Linked DNA regions of Tamandua tetradactyla. The protein of the gene in region 1 purifies or fractionates together with the protein of each later gene. This does not show direct contact. Links are inferred from orthologs where the notes say so. Each region holds a gene or a part of one and is shown in the gene's direction. Other genes may lie near its edges.

What was found.
Region 2: the proteins of RABGGTA (region 1) and CHML purify together in Homo sapiens (co-immunoprecipitation; 3 studies listed by BioGRID and IntAct, counting the BioPlex papers as one, with this or other methods). This does not show direct contact. The link is inferred for Tamandua tetradactyla from reciprocal best matches to the Homo sapiens genes RABGGTA and CHML.

Annotation. Positions count from the first base shown.
Region 1 is NC_135340.1:30,536,211-30,544,525, forward strand, and holds the start of RABGGTA (geranylgeranyl transferase type-2 subunit alpha), read left to right. Parts: upstream 1-4,891; 5' UTR 4,892-5,039; intron 5,040-5,071; exon of another isoform or gene 5,072-5,359; 5' UTR 5,360-5,412; coding exon 5,413-5,415; intron 5,416-5,564; coding exon 5,565-5,675; intron 5,676-6,042; coding exon 6,043-6,167; intron 6,168-6,354; coding exon 6,355-6,542; intron 6,543-6,790; coding exon 6,791-6,994; intron 6,995-7,322; coding exon 7,323-7,406; intron 7,407-7,496; coding exon 7,497-7,579; intron 7,580-7,666; coding exon 7,667-7,768; intron 7,769-7,873; coding exon 7,874-7,979; intron 7,980-8,073; coding exon 8,074-8,125; intron 8,126-8,290; coding exon 8,291-8,315. UniProt on the Homo sapiens protein: Catalyzes the transfer of a geranylgeranyl moiety from geranylgeranyl diphosphate to both cysteines of Rab proteins with the C-terminal sequence -XXCC, -XCXC and -CCXX, such as RAB1A, RAB3A, RAB5A and RAB7A.
Region 2 is NC_135333.1:12,777,635-12,786,083, reverse strand, and holds CHML (rab proteins geranylgeranyltransferase component A 2), read left to right. Parts: upstream 1-4,897; 5' UTR 4,898-5,168; coding exon 5,169-7,127; 3' UTR 7,128-7,798; downstream 7,799-8,449. Other genes in the region: OPN3 (opsin-3), read left to right, coding at 554-926. UniProt on the Homo sapiens protein: Substrate-binding subunit (component A) of the Rab geranylgeranyltransferase (GGTase) complex. Binds unprenylated Rab proteins and presents the substrate peptide to the catalytic component B.

The DNA of each region.
Region 1 (8,315 bases):
CAGTTTCAGGTGCTTTTCTCTAGCCACTCTAACACATGATAAACTAAAAAGGGATATATATATATAATGCATAAGTATAAACTCGAGGATAACCTCTCAACTCTGAAATCTCTCAGCCACTGAGATTTTATTTTGTCTCATTTTTCTCTTCCCCTTTTTGGTCAAGAAGCCTTTCTCAATTCCATGATGCCAGGTCCCAGCTCAACCCCAGGAGTCACGTTCCACATTGCCAGGGAGATTTACACCCCTGGGAGGCATGTCACATGTAGAAGGGACGGCAGTGAATTGCCCTGACGAGTTGGCTTAAACACAGACCACATCTGGGCAACAAAAGAGGTTCTTTGGGGGTCAGTCTAAGGCATAATTTATAAGTAGGCTTAGCTTCTACCTTGCAGGAATAAGTTTCATAGGGGCAAGCCCCAAGATTAAGGGCTCAGTCTATTAAATTGATTGTCCTCAATGCTTATGAGAATATCAGGAATTCTCCAATTAGGGAAGTTTAGTATTTCCTACTTTTCCCCCAGTCTCCCGAAGGGACTTTGCAAATACTTTTTTATTCTCTGCCCAAATTACTCTGGGTAATGCCCTTTAAAAAGGGGAATTTATTAAGTTGCATGTTTACAGTTCTAAGGCTGTGAAAATGTCCAAACTAAGGCATCCAGGGAAAGATACCTTGATTCAAGAAAGGCCGATGGGTCCAGAATACCTCTGTCCTCTGGAAAGGCAAAGGCAACTCTGCTAGGTTTCTCTTCTCATTTCATATGGTTTCCCTGGGGGCGTTTTCCTGCTGCATCACCAAAGGTCTCTGACTATGAGGGCTCTGCTGGCTCTGAAGCTTTTTCCAAAATGGTTCCCTCTTAAAGGGCTCCAGTAAGCAACACCTCCTTGAATGGGTAGAGACACATTCAAAAGTTACCACCCACAATTGGGTGGGTCCCATCTCCATGGAAACAATAAAAAAAAATCCCATCCAGCAATACTGAATGAGGATTAAAGGACATGGCTTTTCTGGGGTACATAATAGCTTCAAACCAGCACACCATGTAATTATGGTTAGAACAAATTCCTCTTAACTGAGTCTGAGTTAGATTCCCCTGTGGGCTCCAATCCTTCTCTTTTTTACATGTTGTCACATCTGATTCACTCACAAGACCTGTCCTGACCAATACTAACCACCAGCCACAGCTCCATGTAGCTACTTAAATTTAAATTAATTAAAACTAAATAAAATTAAAAATTCAGTTCCTCAGTTTCACTAGCCACATTTCAAGTGTCCAAGAGCCGCATGTGGCTAGTGGCTACCGTATTGGACAGCGCAGATATAGAACATCTCCTTCATCATAGAAAGTTCTATTGGACAGTGCTGCCCTAGATTGGAAGCCCCCTGAAGGCAGGGACTACGTCTGTCTGGTTCAACAGCATATCCCAAACACCCAGCACATTGTCAGGCCCAGCTCTGATGCTAAATAAGTATCAACTGATCGAATGAATGCACACACTTTCGCACCCCGCACCTGGCCCAGCTCTAGTACCTGACTTCTACTGCTCTCCGTGCCTCCAGACCACAGTTTCTAGCCGAGCTTTGATGTAGAACTCTGACCCCAGAACTGATGTCCCTTTCCTCCCTCCAAACCATCCATGGTCAGTGACTGTATCGGGTCCTAGAGGAATAGTAAATGTGTGTGTGTGTGTATGTGTGTGTATGAGGGAAGGGGGGAGCAGAGAAAGGGCTTGGCAGAGGAACATGCAATCAGCTAAGGGGACAGAAGGGTTCTTGGACTCAAGAAGATCAAGTGTGAGCCTCTGACTGGCCGCTCCCACCCATGCAGTGGACTGACACCCAAGCTTTGGTTTGAATTCTGGCTAAGTTTCCTTCTGGCAGTGTGATCTCGGACAAGCTACTTAACCACTATGAACCCATTGCATGCATTGTTTCCTCATTGTAAAATATGGAAAAAAAATAAGATGTCTGAGGTTTAGTTGATACTCAATGATTACTTGTTACTTTCTCCACTTAGAGATCAGTAAAATCTCTTCCTCAACCATCATTCAGATTTTGGCCCTAAAATCTGCATAGTTCCCACTTATCCCACACAGGAGGCCAAATATAACTCCTCACAGCTTCTTTTGCCTTTATGTAAGAGGTTTGTCATCAGTTTCACTGCTGTTATCTCCAAAAACACCTGGTTCAGTTTCTGTCTGCCAGCCAAATTAGTCTGTTTGGCTTTATCTCCCACCTCTTCACGTCATATTACATGCCCGAAATACCCTTCTGAGCCCCTCTTCCTGAAACCCAGGCCTACCCTCTCAGAGACAGATTTTTCATGAGACTCACTTCCTCTCTTAAGCCTGCTTGACTCAAACTTCCCAATTTCAAGATTACTAATCATTCAACAATATTTTATACCTACTTCAGCCTTAATCCACCCCCCTTTCTTCCTCTCTTAGTGACTATGATGTAAGACTGTACCTGGCAGATCTGCACCTGGGCGTCTGTTTCCCTGTGGAAACATACATGTGGGTGTGTATAGAGCTGGTTGCACGAGCAGGTGGTAACCAAAAAAAAAAAAGAAGTGATGAGGTGGCAGAATCAGGCAGCCAAGGGTCTCATTTAGCCACCTACTACATGGGTGGCCCTCAGCAAGTTACTTAGTCTTTCTGAGCCTCAGTTTCCTTCAACGTGTGACATAAAGATTAGGAACCATCATCATCATCATTATTATCACTCTTTTCTGAGCCCTTACTCAGTGATCAGCACTATTCTAAGTGCTTTATATAGATTATATTTTATTTGTTTCCCTTCAACGCTACCAGGTAGGTCATATTATTTTTCCTGTATTAACGTCAAAGAAACTGAGACACCAGAGGCTGAGTTACTTACCCCAGACCACACAGTTAGTAAGCGGCAAAGCCAAGGTTTGCACCCAAGCGGTCTGGTTCCAGGGTCAGTGTTCTTAACCCCTCTGCTTACTTCCTCCCAGGTGGGAGCCTGTGTGTGGACACACCGCATTTCTGTGAAGCTCTTGGCACAGGGCCCAACCCAAAGCTGACAACCAATGAACTGCGCAACTGTTTCCACGCTGAGACTGCAAGTTCACAAGGCTTTCCTCTGTAACTTGTTACAGGGCCTAGGAAAAGACATAGTACATGATGGCCACTTCACACACTTTTCCACAAGCTCAGAGAGGTGTAGAGGAAATACAAATATTTAAAGCCAACTTTCTTACCCAGATGTGAGTTACAAGCATATATGTGTGATGTGGGTACACACTTCTCACAAAGACATCACAGACACACACACACACTGACAGGCATGACTCTTATGAAAGTTCCCCCCAGAAGCCTTCCTTAGCTGGTCTAGGCCATATGGATCTTTCCCATTCCTGAACACTAACAGCCAAGCCAGCCCTCATTATGTGTTGTCTGTTCATTCATTCAATAACTACTGATAACTACCAAGAACTAGGGCTAGATATTGGGGAGGCAAGACCAAAAAACTATAGTTCCTGTCCTTCAGAAATTTTCAATCTAATAGGAGATGCTGGCACACAAACCAAGGCTTACAGAGGGTTCAGGAAAAAAAAAAAAAAACACTTTCTTTAACAGCATGGGTGTAAAGCAATCAAATCAGACTGGGGTATTTTGGAGAATTTCCTGGAGGTGACTGCTGATTTAAATCTTAAAGACAAATAGGAGCTATCCTGGCAAAGGAGTGTGGAGGATGGAGAATAAGAAAAGGGAATAAGTTGACACACTTTTGGGAAACTGCAAGTAGTTCTATGGGACCCAGATGAAGGGTTTTTAACAGGGTCAGCCAAAGGGTGGGCAAGAACCAACTGACAAAAGACCTGATATGCTAAATTGAGAGATTCACACTCTCTCCTGAAAAAGCTGTCAGGAGCCACAGAAGCTTAGATGATGTGACGACTGAATTTGCATTTAAGAAAAACTGATCCAGCAGCATTTCGAAGAATACATTGATAACAGAGGGGACAGGGTGCAGATGGGGGACCACTGAGAAAACTTCCAACAATCTGGAGAAGAAATGAGGAGTCTGAACTCTTCTTAGTGGCAGAAGGAATGGAGAGGGTATATAAGAGATATTAAGGAGAAGTGGGAGAGAATAATGCTACAGCAGGGAATATAAAAGGCCAAAGTTTAGGTGGGAGGGAGGAGGCAAGATGACATCTTTTTGACCTTTGAAATTTCAGTTGTTTCTGGGAAACCCAGGTGATCACGAATTAGATACTGGGTATGTGCACATAGATTCTTTATTTTTCAAGCTTACAAGATATCTGGGTTGGAGATATAAACTTCGGTTTCCTTAGCTCAGAGGTAGTCATTAAAACCCTGAATGTGGAGGAAGTTACCCAGAGAAAGTGTGGGGCCAAACGCCCTGTGGACCAAGCACAATACCGGGGAGCTCCAAGCTGCTGTAGGCTTGGATTTGTTAACATTCCACCGGGGACATTGTGTGAAGTGAGACGGGATTGAGGAAAGAGCTCTGGAGATTACCAACACTTAGGACAAGAGGTGAAGAGATGACAAGAGAGGCAAAAATTTAAGAGGAAAAGCCAGAATAGGGGTGTCAAATAGAAGGAAGTCAGAAACGTCAAATGTGCAGAGATCAAGGAGGTACAGGAAACTCTAGCCGCTAGATTTGGCAATTAGGAAGTGGCCACTAAGGCCACAACAAGGTCAATAGAGCGGTGGGGGGCTGTGTCCCCCCGGTTGCTGGAGATTGCAGTTTGAGTAGCGGACTGAAATTGCTGCCCCTGGGACGGCTTCTACGAGGCTCCCGGATTTAACGAGCGCGCTACAGCCACGCATGCGCACTCTTACTCCCTAGAAGGGCCAAGGACTCGGCATTTGTGCGCATGCGCATGCGCCCTTCGAGCCCGCAGACTCCCCCACCGGCCTCTGAGAGCTGGAGAGGGCGCTAGCCTCAGAGGACCGTAGCGTGACGCCGCTCTAGCTCGCGCCCGGGCTCGGTGGCGGGCGCCGCAGCTCGGCGTTCCGCACGCTTCCTCTTAGCGCAGGTGGGTTCGCCCGCGGGGGCAGGGGGCGTCTGGGAGCTGCGGGGTGGGTGGGTGCTGCAGCCTCCCGGGAGCGGAGTGGTCCCCATCGCCTAAGTGCCGCGGCTCGGGCTCCGATCCCGGCGAATCATACCGAAGGCGGAGCCGCCCGGCTGGAAATTCGGCTCGGGTGGGCGCCTCCTCCTGGATGAGCTATGCCTGTCCCAGGACCCCTTTACGGGCTGGGGGGTCTCCACCCAGGCCCGCGTGCAGCTTCCGGGGACCAGCTGGAGGCGGAGCTAGTGGGGGCGGGGCTCCCGTGATTGACACGCCCTCTCCCGAAGCTTCACGGCGACCACGGGACACCTCCAAGGTCCTGAACACCTGAGCCGGCACCATGGTGAGAATCCTGAGCCCAGCCCCTGACCTCCACATGCCTGTGGCCTTGCCTCGGTCCCCTTGTATGAACCCGGGGCTCCCCAGTGGAAGACTCAGCGGGTTTGCCCCTAAAAGGGCAGCCTGCACCCTTCCAACATGTCCTTCCATTAGCACGGGCGCCTGAAGGTGAAGACGTCGGAAGAGCAGGCCGAAGCCAAAAGGCTAGAGCGGGAGCAGAAGCTGAAGCTGTACCTGTCAGCCACCCAGGCTGTCTTCCAGAAGGTGGGGCCCTGAGACATACTGCCCTTCCCCCCCCCTCCCCCAGACGCTCGCTTAGCAAAGCCCCAAGCCCAACACCTGGTCTCCAGAGTCAGAATGCCTGGATCCACCATATAGTAGCTACGTGACTTTGGACAAGTTACTAAATCTCTTTGAACCTCAGTTTGCTCTTCTGTAAAATGGGGTTAATAAGTGTACTCACTGCATAAGGCTGTTAATGAAGATTAAATGGGAGAATATGCGTAAAGCACTTTGCATATTACGTGCTGTAGAGTGCGGGCTCACAGTATATACTATAGTTCCATTTATGTTACTTTGTCCTGGAGTGGGAGAATGACATGACCCTTGAACCTACTACCTTCCTTCTCAGCGCCAGGCTGGTGAGCTGGATGAGTCAGTGCTGGAACTGACAAGCCAGATTCTGGGAGCCAACCCTGACTTTGCCACCCTCTGGAACTGCCGCCGGGAGGTGCTGCAGCAGTTGGAGGTGCAGAAGTGCGTGCTGGTTCAGGGCCACAGCAAGTCCTCCCCACCCTGACGCTGGCCCTGGCCCTGCCCTGCCCTGTCTGGGTCCAGGGATGGAGGAGGAATAGGGAACCAGGGTGGGCATAGACACTCAGGAGTGAGCTGAATTTGTTGTATGGAAAGGCTCTGACCTCCCACCCCTCTCTGCACAACGCAGGTCCCCTGAGGAGTTTGCCACTCTGGTGAAGGCAGAGCTCGGCTTTCTGGAGAGCTGCCTGCGGGTGAACCCCAAGTCTTACGGCACGTGGCACCATCGCTGCTGGCTGTTGGGCCGCCTCCCTGAGCCCAACTGGGCCCGGGAGCTGGAGCTGTGTGCCCGTTTCCTCGAGGTGGATGAGCGGAACTGTACGTGCCTACAGATTCTGTCCCTACCCTGTCACCTGCCACCCCCATCCTTGTACTGGGACCTCAGTAAGGCCCAGAGTGGGGAGGATATCCAGAATGGGCCCACTGAGCTGATGGCAAAAGGAATGAAAGAGCTTAAATGCCTCCTCCATGGAGTGTGTAGCGGTGTATCTGGGGTTGCCAGCCAGGGAATTCCTCTTGCCCTACTTCTGAGGTGTGTTTCCCTCTCCCACCCCCACCCCCACAAGTTCATTGCTGGGACTACCGGCGATTTGTGGCTGCACAGGCAACTGTGCCCCCTGCGGAGGAGCTAGCCTTCACTGACAGCCTCATTACCCGAAACTTCTCCAACTACTCCTCCTGGCACTATCGCTCCTGCCTTCTGCCTCAGCTGCACCCCCATCCAGACTCGGGGTCACGGGGGCGCCTCCCAGAGGATGTGCTGCTGAAAGGTAAGCAGGGTTTAGGGGGTTCTGGAAAGTACCACAGCAGTCTGTAGGGCCCTTCCGGCTCTGACGTCTGGCCCTGTTCTCGAACCTCTCAGTCGGGTTTATTGTTGCCCACTTCGTGCTGGGCCTGGGGTTCATAAAACTGAGCCTAAAGTATCAGATGGGCAAGATAAAACTTGAATGTAGCCCCTGTGTCAGGCCAGCATAGAATCCCAAACTGAGGGCTGGGGGTACCTAAGGAGAGGGCATGTAGGGTGGGAGCGTTGGAGCCCCGGGGATCCTGCTGGGTCCTGACAGCTCCCATGCCCCCATGTTCCCTTGGCCCCCGCAGAACTGGAGCTGGTGCAGAATGCCTTCTTTACGGACCCGAATGATCAGAGTGCCTGGTTCTATCACCGCTGGCTTCTGGGCCGAGGTGAGTCATGGAGGAAGAGGCTGGGTGTGGGGGGGGCTTGGAAGGAGTGGAACAGGATTTAAGGAGACCTGAGGCTGTGTCTGCCCCCAGCTGACCCCCAGGATGCCCTACACTGCCTGCACGTGAGCCGGGACGAGGCCTGTTTGATCGTCTCCTTCTCGCGGCCCCTCCTGGTGAGTCCTGCTGCTTGTGCGGGGGAGCGTCAGGATGGTGGGCCTGGCGCTCTTGGGACAACTGGGTCACTCTTTGTCCCCAACCAGGTGGACTCCAGGATGGAGACCTTGCTGCTCATGGTTGATGAGTCACCCCTAGCTGTGGAGTGGAGGACCCCAGATGGAAGGAACCGGCCCAGCCATGTCTGGGTATCCAAGGATTGGTGGAAGCAGAAGTGGGAGCTGGGGTGGGGCTAGGGTGGGACAACCAGAAAAGTGATGAGGCAGGACATTTCCTTGACCCATTGCTCCCAGCTCTGTGACCTGCCCACTGCCTCCCTCAACGACCAGTTACCCCAACATACGTTTCGTGTCATTTGGAGGGCAGGTGATGCCCAGAAGGAATGTGTGCTTTTAAAAGGTGATGCAACTTGCAGCTTCCACCACTTAAGCAGCCCCTCATCCCGCTCTTCCTCTCATGAGGGTCCCCTCCTGCCACTTGTACTTTCCCTCAGGCCATCAGGAGGGCTGGTGCCGGGACTCGGCCACAGATGAGCAGCTATTCAGGTAAAGATGGAAACACAGACAAGGAGAGGGGCTCTAGACTCTGGGCTCTAAGCCACTGAGGCAGGAGGGTTGGGGCTGGGAGATGGTCTCAGACTGCATACTGAGGGCTCCCAGTATTCCGAGGCTGTGGACCTCACCTCTCCCCGCAACCCCACTTGCCCTCAGGTGCGAGCTGTCAGCCGAGAAGTCC
Region 2 (8,449 bases), on another chromosome or scaffold:
CCCCTTACCAAGCTTTTCAATGTTTTTATTTTCTTGTGTTTACATGAAGTGCATGAGACCTGGGTGCGCATTATAGGCTATTGGTGGGTTGTTTTCAGGTTCCTGAGAACCGGAGAAGCCTAGCGTGGTAGGCGTTGAGAAATATTTATGAATGAATGATTCCATAAGTGAATGAGTAAATGTGTGAACGGACATGATACTTCCAAGCTCGTGGAGGGAGAGCTCTGCAGTTGACTTCCCTCGCTTCTGCCCTACCATGTCGGCGCGCCCCAGTGGCAGCTAGTCCACGCTCGCTGGTGCGCGCTGGAGCCCGGGGGAGGGACCGGCGAAAGGAGGGGGCGTGGTCACGATGACACGCTACGCGAGGGGGCGTGGTCAGGAGGCGCGCCGGGCGGAAGCGGCTGCCTGCCAGTTCCCGCGACGCCTCGCGGTCTCGGCGGCTTCGGATGGCTGCACCCTGAGCCCGAGCTGAGGCCCCACCCAGTGCGGAGGGCGCCGAGGGCTGTGGTGAACGCTGAGCGCCTCCGCCCGCCCAGCGCGCCGGCGCCGGGCCATGTACTCGGGGAACCGAAGCGGCGGCCGAGACTACTGGGAGGTCGGCGGGGGCGCGGGCGCCCAGGGAGCGGGGCCGACGGGGACGCTCAGCCCGGCGCCCCTCTTCAGCCCGGGCACCTACGAGCGCCTGGCGCTCCTGATCGGCTCCATTGGGCTGCTGGGCGCCGGCAACAACCTGCTGGTGCTCATCCTGTACTACAAGTTCCAGCGGCTCCGCACTCCCACCAACCTCTTCCTGGTCAACATCAGCTTCAGCGACCTGCTGGTGTCCCTCTTCGGAGTCACCTTTACGTTCGTATCCTGCCTGAGGAACGGCTGGGTCTGGGACACCGTGGGCTGCGCGTGGGACGGGTTTAGCAGCAGCCTCTTCGGTGAGTTGGGCTGGGAGGAGAAAGCTTTCTCTCCACTGCAAACTTCCCGTTTCCCGCAGTGCCACCACCCCTGCGACAGCTTGCCGCCCAAGCCGCCCCCCGCGCCTTCCCGCTCGCGCTCCCGGCCACCGCCGTGCTCTGTCCCACGCTCCTGTCACGCTGCCACCCCCGGTTGCACGGCGCCCCTTCCTTCCTTGCCTCATCGCTTCCTTCCCTCCCACTGGCCGCGATTCCGATCCCCCAGGTAGACGCTGAACCCCAGCCTGTCTTCACCCGCAGTTGTCCTTTTAACTCCAGTTCCTCCCTAACTCTACTCAGCCCCTGCCCAGGTCATCTCATTTCTCCTTTTTCACCTCCTAATGTAATTCAACAGGTCACGACACAACGGCTTTTACACTTTGAGAAAAGAAACGAGGGGCTGTAGAGACAAGAGAGTCAAGAAAAACAGTGATTAACTTAGCAATGTTGGAGTGGGTGACGGAAAGAAATTTAATGCATACACAGTTTTTTCCCTAAAGTGAGAGATAAGTTACACATTAAAGAGCAATGTGTAAAATTTTTTTTTTTTTTGGTTTTGCTTATTAGCAACTGTAAACCTTTGAATGCTTCTTAGGGAGTGAGCGTTTAATTTAGGTCTTTAGAGTGCAAATTGGCTTGTACCCTATAAGCTACTTTTACTGTATTTTTTTCCTTATAGGTCCTATGAAACCAAAATCTAAGGTGAGATTGCAAATGACTCAGAGAATCTCAACTCAGGTGAACAAGTAATTAGCTGTGCAACCTTTAGATTCATTAAAGCAGAACTTGATTGTTAATTGAAGATTTGGTTCTACAATATTCCCAATCCTTATGGAAGAATTAAGTTTCTCTTGAGAGGAGTCTCAAGCTTGGAAAATAAATTATTTTTTGTGTACTCTAGGAATTTCATTTGTATAAAATTTGAGATAGAGATGTGTACTTCTCAGGTCTTAAATTTCCTTTTGTATGCTGAAATCCATTAGTAATTTATTACTGCTTTTATCTTGCAAGGTTTTGGAGAACATAATCTTTGTAGCATTATCAAAAACATTTTCTTGTTTACCAACCTACTATGCTCTGACAAATTCAATTATGATATTTGTTGTGATTCATTTTTAGGTATTTTTGGGAAACAAAGAAAATATCATAGGGATTATGATTTCATTTATTTGATTGCTTAAATAGTTTTGATACCATTCCCCTGAACTACCACCAAGCTTTAACGTGGGGATTTCATTTGGACATATTTGAAACTTGGAAAGGGAGCTATAAGTGTATGTAGGTGGCACTATAGATGGCTATGCTATTATTTTCTTTATATTAATTTAAAAATACCTATCAGGCAATTTTTAAGGTGAGGCTAAACTTTAAAGAGGGTGATTCAAGTGCAAGCCAATAGTAATAGTACCAAAGATGGGCAACAGGTGTTTGATCATATACATGAAAGTTCTTATTTCCACAAAATACCTTTTCTAGTGCTGGGAAATTCTATTTATATCCCATCTCTATGCTGGGAGTTTAAAAGCAAGGGTATATTGACTTCTTTTTTATTACCATCATCTGTTCTGTTTCCTTACCTCATCCCTCTGCCTGTCCCACCCTCTTCGGTCTCCTTGTCACCTCCTTTTTTTTTCTTTTTCACCTTCCCTGCTTGATTCCATCCCAATCAAAAGTGATTTTCTAATGCTGGAAATGTTTACCACACGGTGTTTTACCTGAAGACTGCTCTGTTTTTCTTGGCATTTAGTTAGTGCTTTCATCCCTGTCTTTATTCCTGTTTTTAAATTAGAGGTAGAAATTCAGGGTAAGAGGTTCTGAGACTTGTTTAAGCCTTGGGAGACAAGTCAGTAATGGGGTTATGATGGAGCTTAAGAAGTTCATAGCAAAAATTAAGAATTTCATTGCGTGGAGTAAAGTCCCAGATTTGTACGTCTAGATTAGGGTTAAAGATGCAGAAAGGGAGGTGCTTCCCTCATTGTTATCCCTGGGCAAGAACTAATCAACCATGGCAGAGGAAATTTTAAAAGCTGGACATTTCTGCTTCATCCAGAGGCATCTGGCCAGTTGGCACAAGAGTAGGTTGCGCTCTTGAATCTGTGACTGACAAATTGTGTGGACTTCCCCAAGTCTGTTAATCTCTACATGTCTATTCTCATCTTTATTATGGAGTAGTTGAGCAAAATGTTCCCTCAGGTTTCACACTATGTTTTTAATGACTCCTTTGCTATCTATAGGTTAGAAGGAACCTGATCTTAGCATTTAGAGCTGTGTCCTCTCTCCTTACTCTGCCCTCAGCCCCTATTTCCTCTAAGCCAAGAATAAGCACATACTATGGTCAGTCTTCTAAAGATAACCTCATGGGTTCTATCTCCCTCTTCACACCTTGCTGGAAGAAGTAAGAATAAATAATTCAGACTTACTTACATAAATGCTTGAGTGGGTCAGGCATTTCTTTCATTCTCTGCTTAATTCCCGATTTCTCAGAAAATACCCCAAATAAATGAAATCCCTACTATTCTTGAGGCAGAAGCTTTGACTAGACAGAACTGTGAGAATTGTCATTTCAGTTAAACTGTCCAGTTCAGTGAACTAATCTATTTAATATAATTCCAGTTGGATGGCTTGTTTTACTTATGTCTAAAATAATTAATCACATTAGCCTAGGCAGGCCCAGCTTGTACTGAGCTAGATTTCAGTTAAGTTAAGCAGAAAGGGAAATCAGAGTTTAAAGAATTCTCACTCTTGCTGTGCAAAGATGACTGATAGTTAGAAGGGCTCCCTAGCAGTGTAGTGTGTGAAGGCAGAATTCACACATAGGTGTGGGAGGTGAAAGGAAAGGGCATATCCAGGTAAGTATACCCTTCAGTACCTCGGCTGTTCACCTCTGGCCACACCTACTTTCAGACTTGCACATGGAATATAACAAGTATTATACCAGAAGTTAACAGGAGAGCCTTTTGTAACTACCACCTTCATGCCTTCAAAACCAAGAACAACAGAAAACAAGTTGGTCTTTCAAGAGAATGTTTAAATAGACCTATTTCTTGGGACACAGAGAGTCAGGGTTGCCGAGACAAAGTCTGACAAGAAGCAGAAATCACTCTCTTTAGTGTTAGAAGCAAGTGTTAAATATGTTAATATATTTTAACATTTGAACCCAGGAATTTTGTAGCTTATTACCTCTATAAAGCACACATGTACTTGTGTACATTGATATAAAGAGTTATAAATAAATATCCCTCCTCAGTAGGTCTATACTTCATATCTCCAGGTTTAAAAAAATGCCAGTGGCTTTGCTGAGTTAATCTTTTGTTAATACACTGACTGGTTAATTCAATAGAAATACTCAAACCCTCATTTTGCTACAAGATCCTAAGGGTGGTTGAGGCCTGAAAAGACCTAATTGGCTGGTGCAGAATCACCTACAGACTGTACTGGTCACGGTCATGATCATGGCAGTAGTCACATAATACATAATCTGTTTCCACAAACACAATGCAGTCAGACATTTCTTTCTTATTTATTTTTTTTTTTTGGAGTCACACATTTCTAAGCTCACAGCTATATATAGTTTTACGTTTTACTCAAATACTAGTTTTATTAAAACCAATGTTATATATTTTATTATGTTAATTCTTTATTTTTGTGGGATAGTATTATGTCCATTCTTGATTATTGAATTGCCTGATTTGGGGAAGTATATCTGTACTGTTCATTTTTTTAAAGAAATAAGAATATATGTAAGTGTGTATTTAATGACTTGGGCTAGCAGAGGTTTTATCCAGGTAACAAGTCAGATTTCAATAGACTATAATTGTTATTACATGAAATTATTTTTCTCTTTTAATGTTTACAATTGTATTCTTTCTTGAATTTTCTTCTTTCAGAGAAGAGTTCCAGTCACAAATGCATATGTGATGCATTTTGACATTTACTGCTAAGATGAAATGCAGAAATGAAAACCACACATCAGTTTTGGTATTCTCAAATGTGATTAGATGTACTTTGTCATGTTTTTATGCTACTGACCTGTAAGAAAAAAATACCCCCCAAAAAAGAGTAGTAGTTAAACAGCTAGGACTGTAACCTCTGCTTCTGGGATAAACTGGAACATCACAAGAAGAGATTTGATCTTGGCATACTCATACCTCAGCTGAGCCCACAGCCTAGATTCATAAACATTTCCTTCATCGGCAGTTGTCAGCAGGTGCTTTAGTTCCCAGAATGGCGGACAATCTCCCTACAGAGTTTGATGTGGTTATAATAGGGACAGGTTTGCCTGAATCCATCCTTGCAGCTGCATGTTCAAGGAGTGGTCAGAGGGTTCTGCATGTTGATTCACGAAGTTATTATGGAGGAAACTGGGCTAGTTTCAGCTTTTCAGGATTGTTATCCTGGTTGAAAGAATATCAGCAAAACAGTGATGATTCAGAAGAAAGAACAGCTGCATGGCAAGACCTGATCCATGAAACCGAAGAAGCCATTACTCTTCGCAAAAAGGATGCAACCATTCAACACATAGAAGTTTTTTGTTATGCCAATCAGGATTTGGATGACAATGTTGAAGAAATTGGTGCCCTGCAGAAAAATCCTTCCTCAGTGGCATCTAGTACTCTCACTGAACCTCTGGATTCTGCATGTGTACCCAAAGAAAGCCACTTATGCAATACTAACTATGAAATGCCTGCCAAAGACACTCCAAAAAGTGATAAAGGGGTTTCACTAGAAGTAAATGATGTAGAGGAAATTCTGGAGAAGGAAAATGATTGTGGAGATAAAACTTTTCACACAGTTTTAGATGGAGGTAAAGATGAAAGCAAACCTATGGTAGAAGACAACACTGATCAACCAAAGAAAAATAGGGTTACTTACTCTCAAATAGTTAAAGAAGGCAGAAGATTTAATATTGATTTGGTATCAAAGCTGCTGTTTTCTCAAGGATTGCTAATTGATCTTTTAATCAAATCAAATGTAAGTCGATATGCAGAATTTAAAAATGTCACTAGGATTCTTGCATTTCGGGAAGGAAAAGTAGAACAGGTGCCTTGTTCCAGAGCAGATGTCTTTAATAGCAAAGAACTCACAATGGTTGAAAAGAGAATGCTAATGAAATTTCTTACATTTTGTATAGACTACGAACAACATCCTGATGAATACCAAGCTTTCACGCAGTGTTCGTTTTCAGAGTACTTAAAAACTAAAAAACTAACTCCCAACCTCCAGCATTTTGTACTGCACTCAATTGCAATGACATCACAGTCATCTTGCACTACGTTAGATGGCCTTAAAGCAACAAAAAACTTCCTGCAGTGTCTGGGACGGTTCGGCAACACACCTTTTTTATTTCCCTTGTATGGCCAAGGAGAAATTCCCCAGTGTTTCTGCAGGATGTGTGCAGTTTTTGGTGGAATCTATTGTCTCCGCCATAAAGTACAATGCCTTGTAGTTGACAAAGATTCTGGAAGATGTAAAGCAGTTATAGATCACTTTGGTCAAAGAATAAATGCTAAATATTTTATTGTGGAGGACAGTTACCTTTCTGAGGAAACATGCTCAAATGTGCAGTATAAGCAGATCTCCAGGGCAGTGCTCATTACAGATCAGTCTATACTAAAGACAGATTCAGATCAGCAGATTTCCATTTTGATAGTGCCTCCAGCAGAACCAGAAAGTTGTGCCATTCGGGTGACTGAATTATGTTCTTCAACCATGACATGCATGAAAGATACCTATCTGGTACATCTGACATGTCCATCTTCTAAAACAGCGAGAGAAGACTTAGAAGAATCAGTGGTGAAGAAATTATTCACTCCATATGATGAAACAGAAATAGATAAGGAAGGACTAACAAAGCCAAGACTCTTGTGGGCTCTTTATTATAACATGAGAGATTCTTCTGAAATAGGCAGAAGCTCATATAATGGCTTACCTTCCAATGTTTATATCTGCTCTGGGCCTGACTGTGGTCTGGGAAATGAGCATGCAGTCAAGCAAGCTGAGACACTTTTCCGGGAGATCTTTCCAGATGAAGAATTCTGCCCCCCACCTCCAAATCCAGAAGACATTATCTTTGATGGTGATGATAAGCAGTCAGAGGCTCCTGGAACCAATAATATAGTAATGGCCAAAGTAGAATCCACTGAAGAAATAAAAAACCTAGAAAACCCAGGGAAGCACCTTTAAAATTAGAAAAAGCAAACTGGAAATTCCATTTTGGACCTTCATCCTGGCATCAGAACATTCTCATTTAAAGGACATATTAGAAGTGGTTATATGATAAATGCTATGTTTGCAGATGTTGCTGTTAAATTTGAGACATTCAGTGTTTGGAAGCCTTTGTTAATCTTTCAGTAACTGATTTATTACTTATTGGACATTTTTTTGGCTGCCAGATAGACTCCCTGATCCAAAACCTTAAACTGCATTTGCTTTATTTTGGAATTAGGTACATATGTGAGGTTTCATTACTAGGAACTCTGCTTAAAGGAAGGTAATTTGTATCTGCTGATCTTTAGATTTTACCATTGTTTACAAAACAGTATCTAAGAAATAGTATAAATACTTTTGTAGCTGTTATAAGTTTCTGTCTCCTCTGCTTTCCGAGGAGATCTGTTTGAATAGTGAAACACAAAGTAAATTATATGGTTTTTTTGTAATATAACATGTAGGCATGATGATGGCATTGCAAGTAATACAAGTGCCAATATGATAAAATATATTTAACTACGATTGTGAGAAAGATTAGCTTGGTTTGATCCTTTATTCTTTGTGGAGGTCTGATGTTTGAAATACGTCTTACAAATACATCAGCCTGACCCATATAAACAACTGGGGCAGTGAATGATAACACCACAGGCTTCTACATTACAAAAAAAGTTGGAGAGTTCAGTTCTTAGTTTAAGAACTAATTCTTGGGAGGTTCATTTCACAGAGAATTTAGTGAATAATTCAAGATTGATCTGGTTGAATACTTTAAGAAAATTTCTGTAGAGCCCTGCTCGAGTAGGAAATTCAGTAGCGATGAACCCAAAAGAAAAGAATTTCTAACAAGTTAACTCAGACCAAGAGAAAAATTGCCCCGGGAAAAGATGTTTCAGAGTAGTTATTCTGAAATTCCTAAGGAGAAACTCTGAGATGATTTTAAAACTATCTGTAAATAGATTTACCTGAGGTATCTTAATGAGGATGAACTAGCCATCATGTTGTCTTTGCTACTTTAATGAGCAACACTACTAACTGTTAGCAGTGAATCAGAGGAGTATTTAACATGCATGCCCCTTTGGTTGTATCCCATCACTCAGATGTAATGAGGTAACGTACCTTTCTAATCAGTTCTGCCTTCTTTTTGTAATCTAGAAGATGGAAACATGTTTCTTTTCCAGAACCACCAGAAGTCACAAAACTGGTTGCACTCCAGTAGTGAAAAAATGTGGAGATATCAGAAGAGGTGAACCTCCTCTTTTAATCTCCCATTTCCATTCCTTGGGCAGAGCCGGATAATCCTT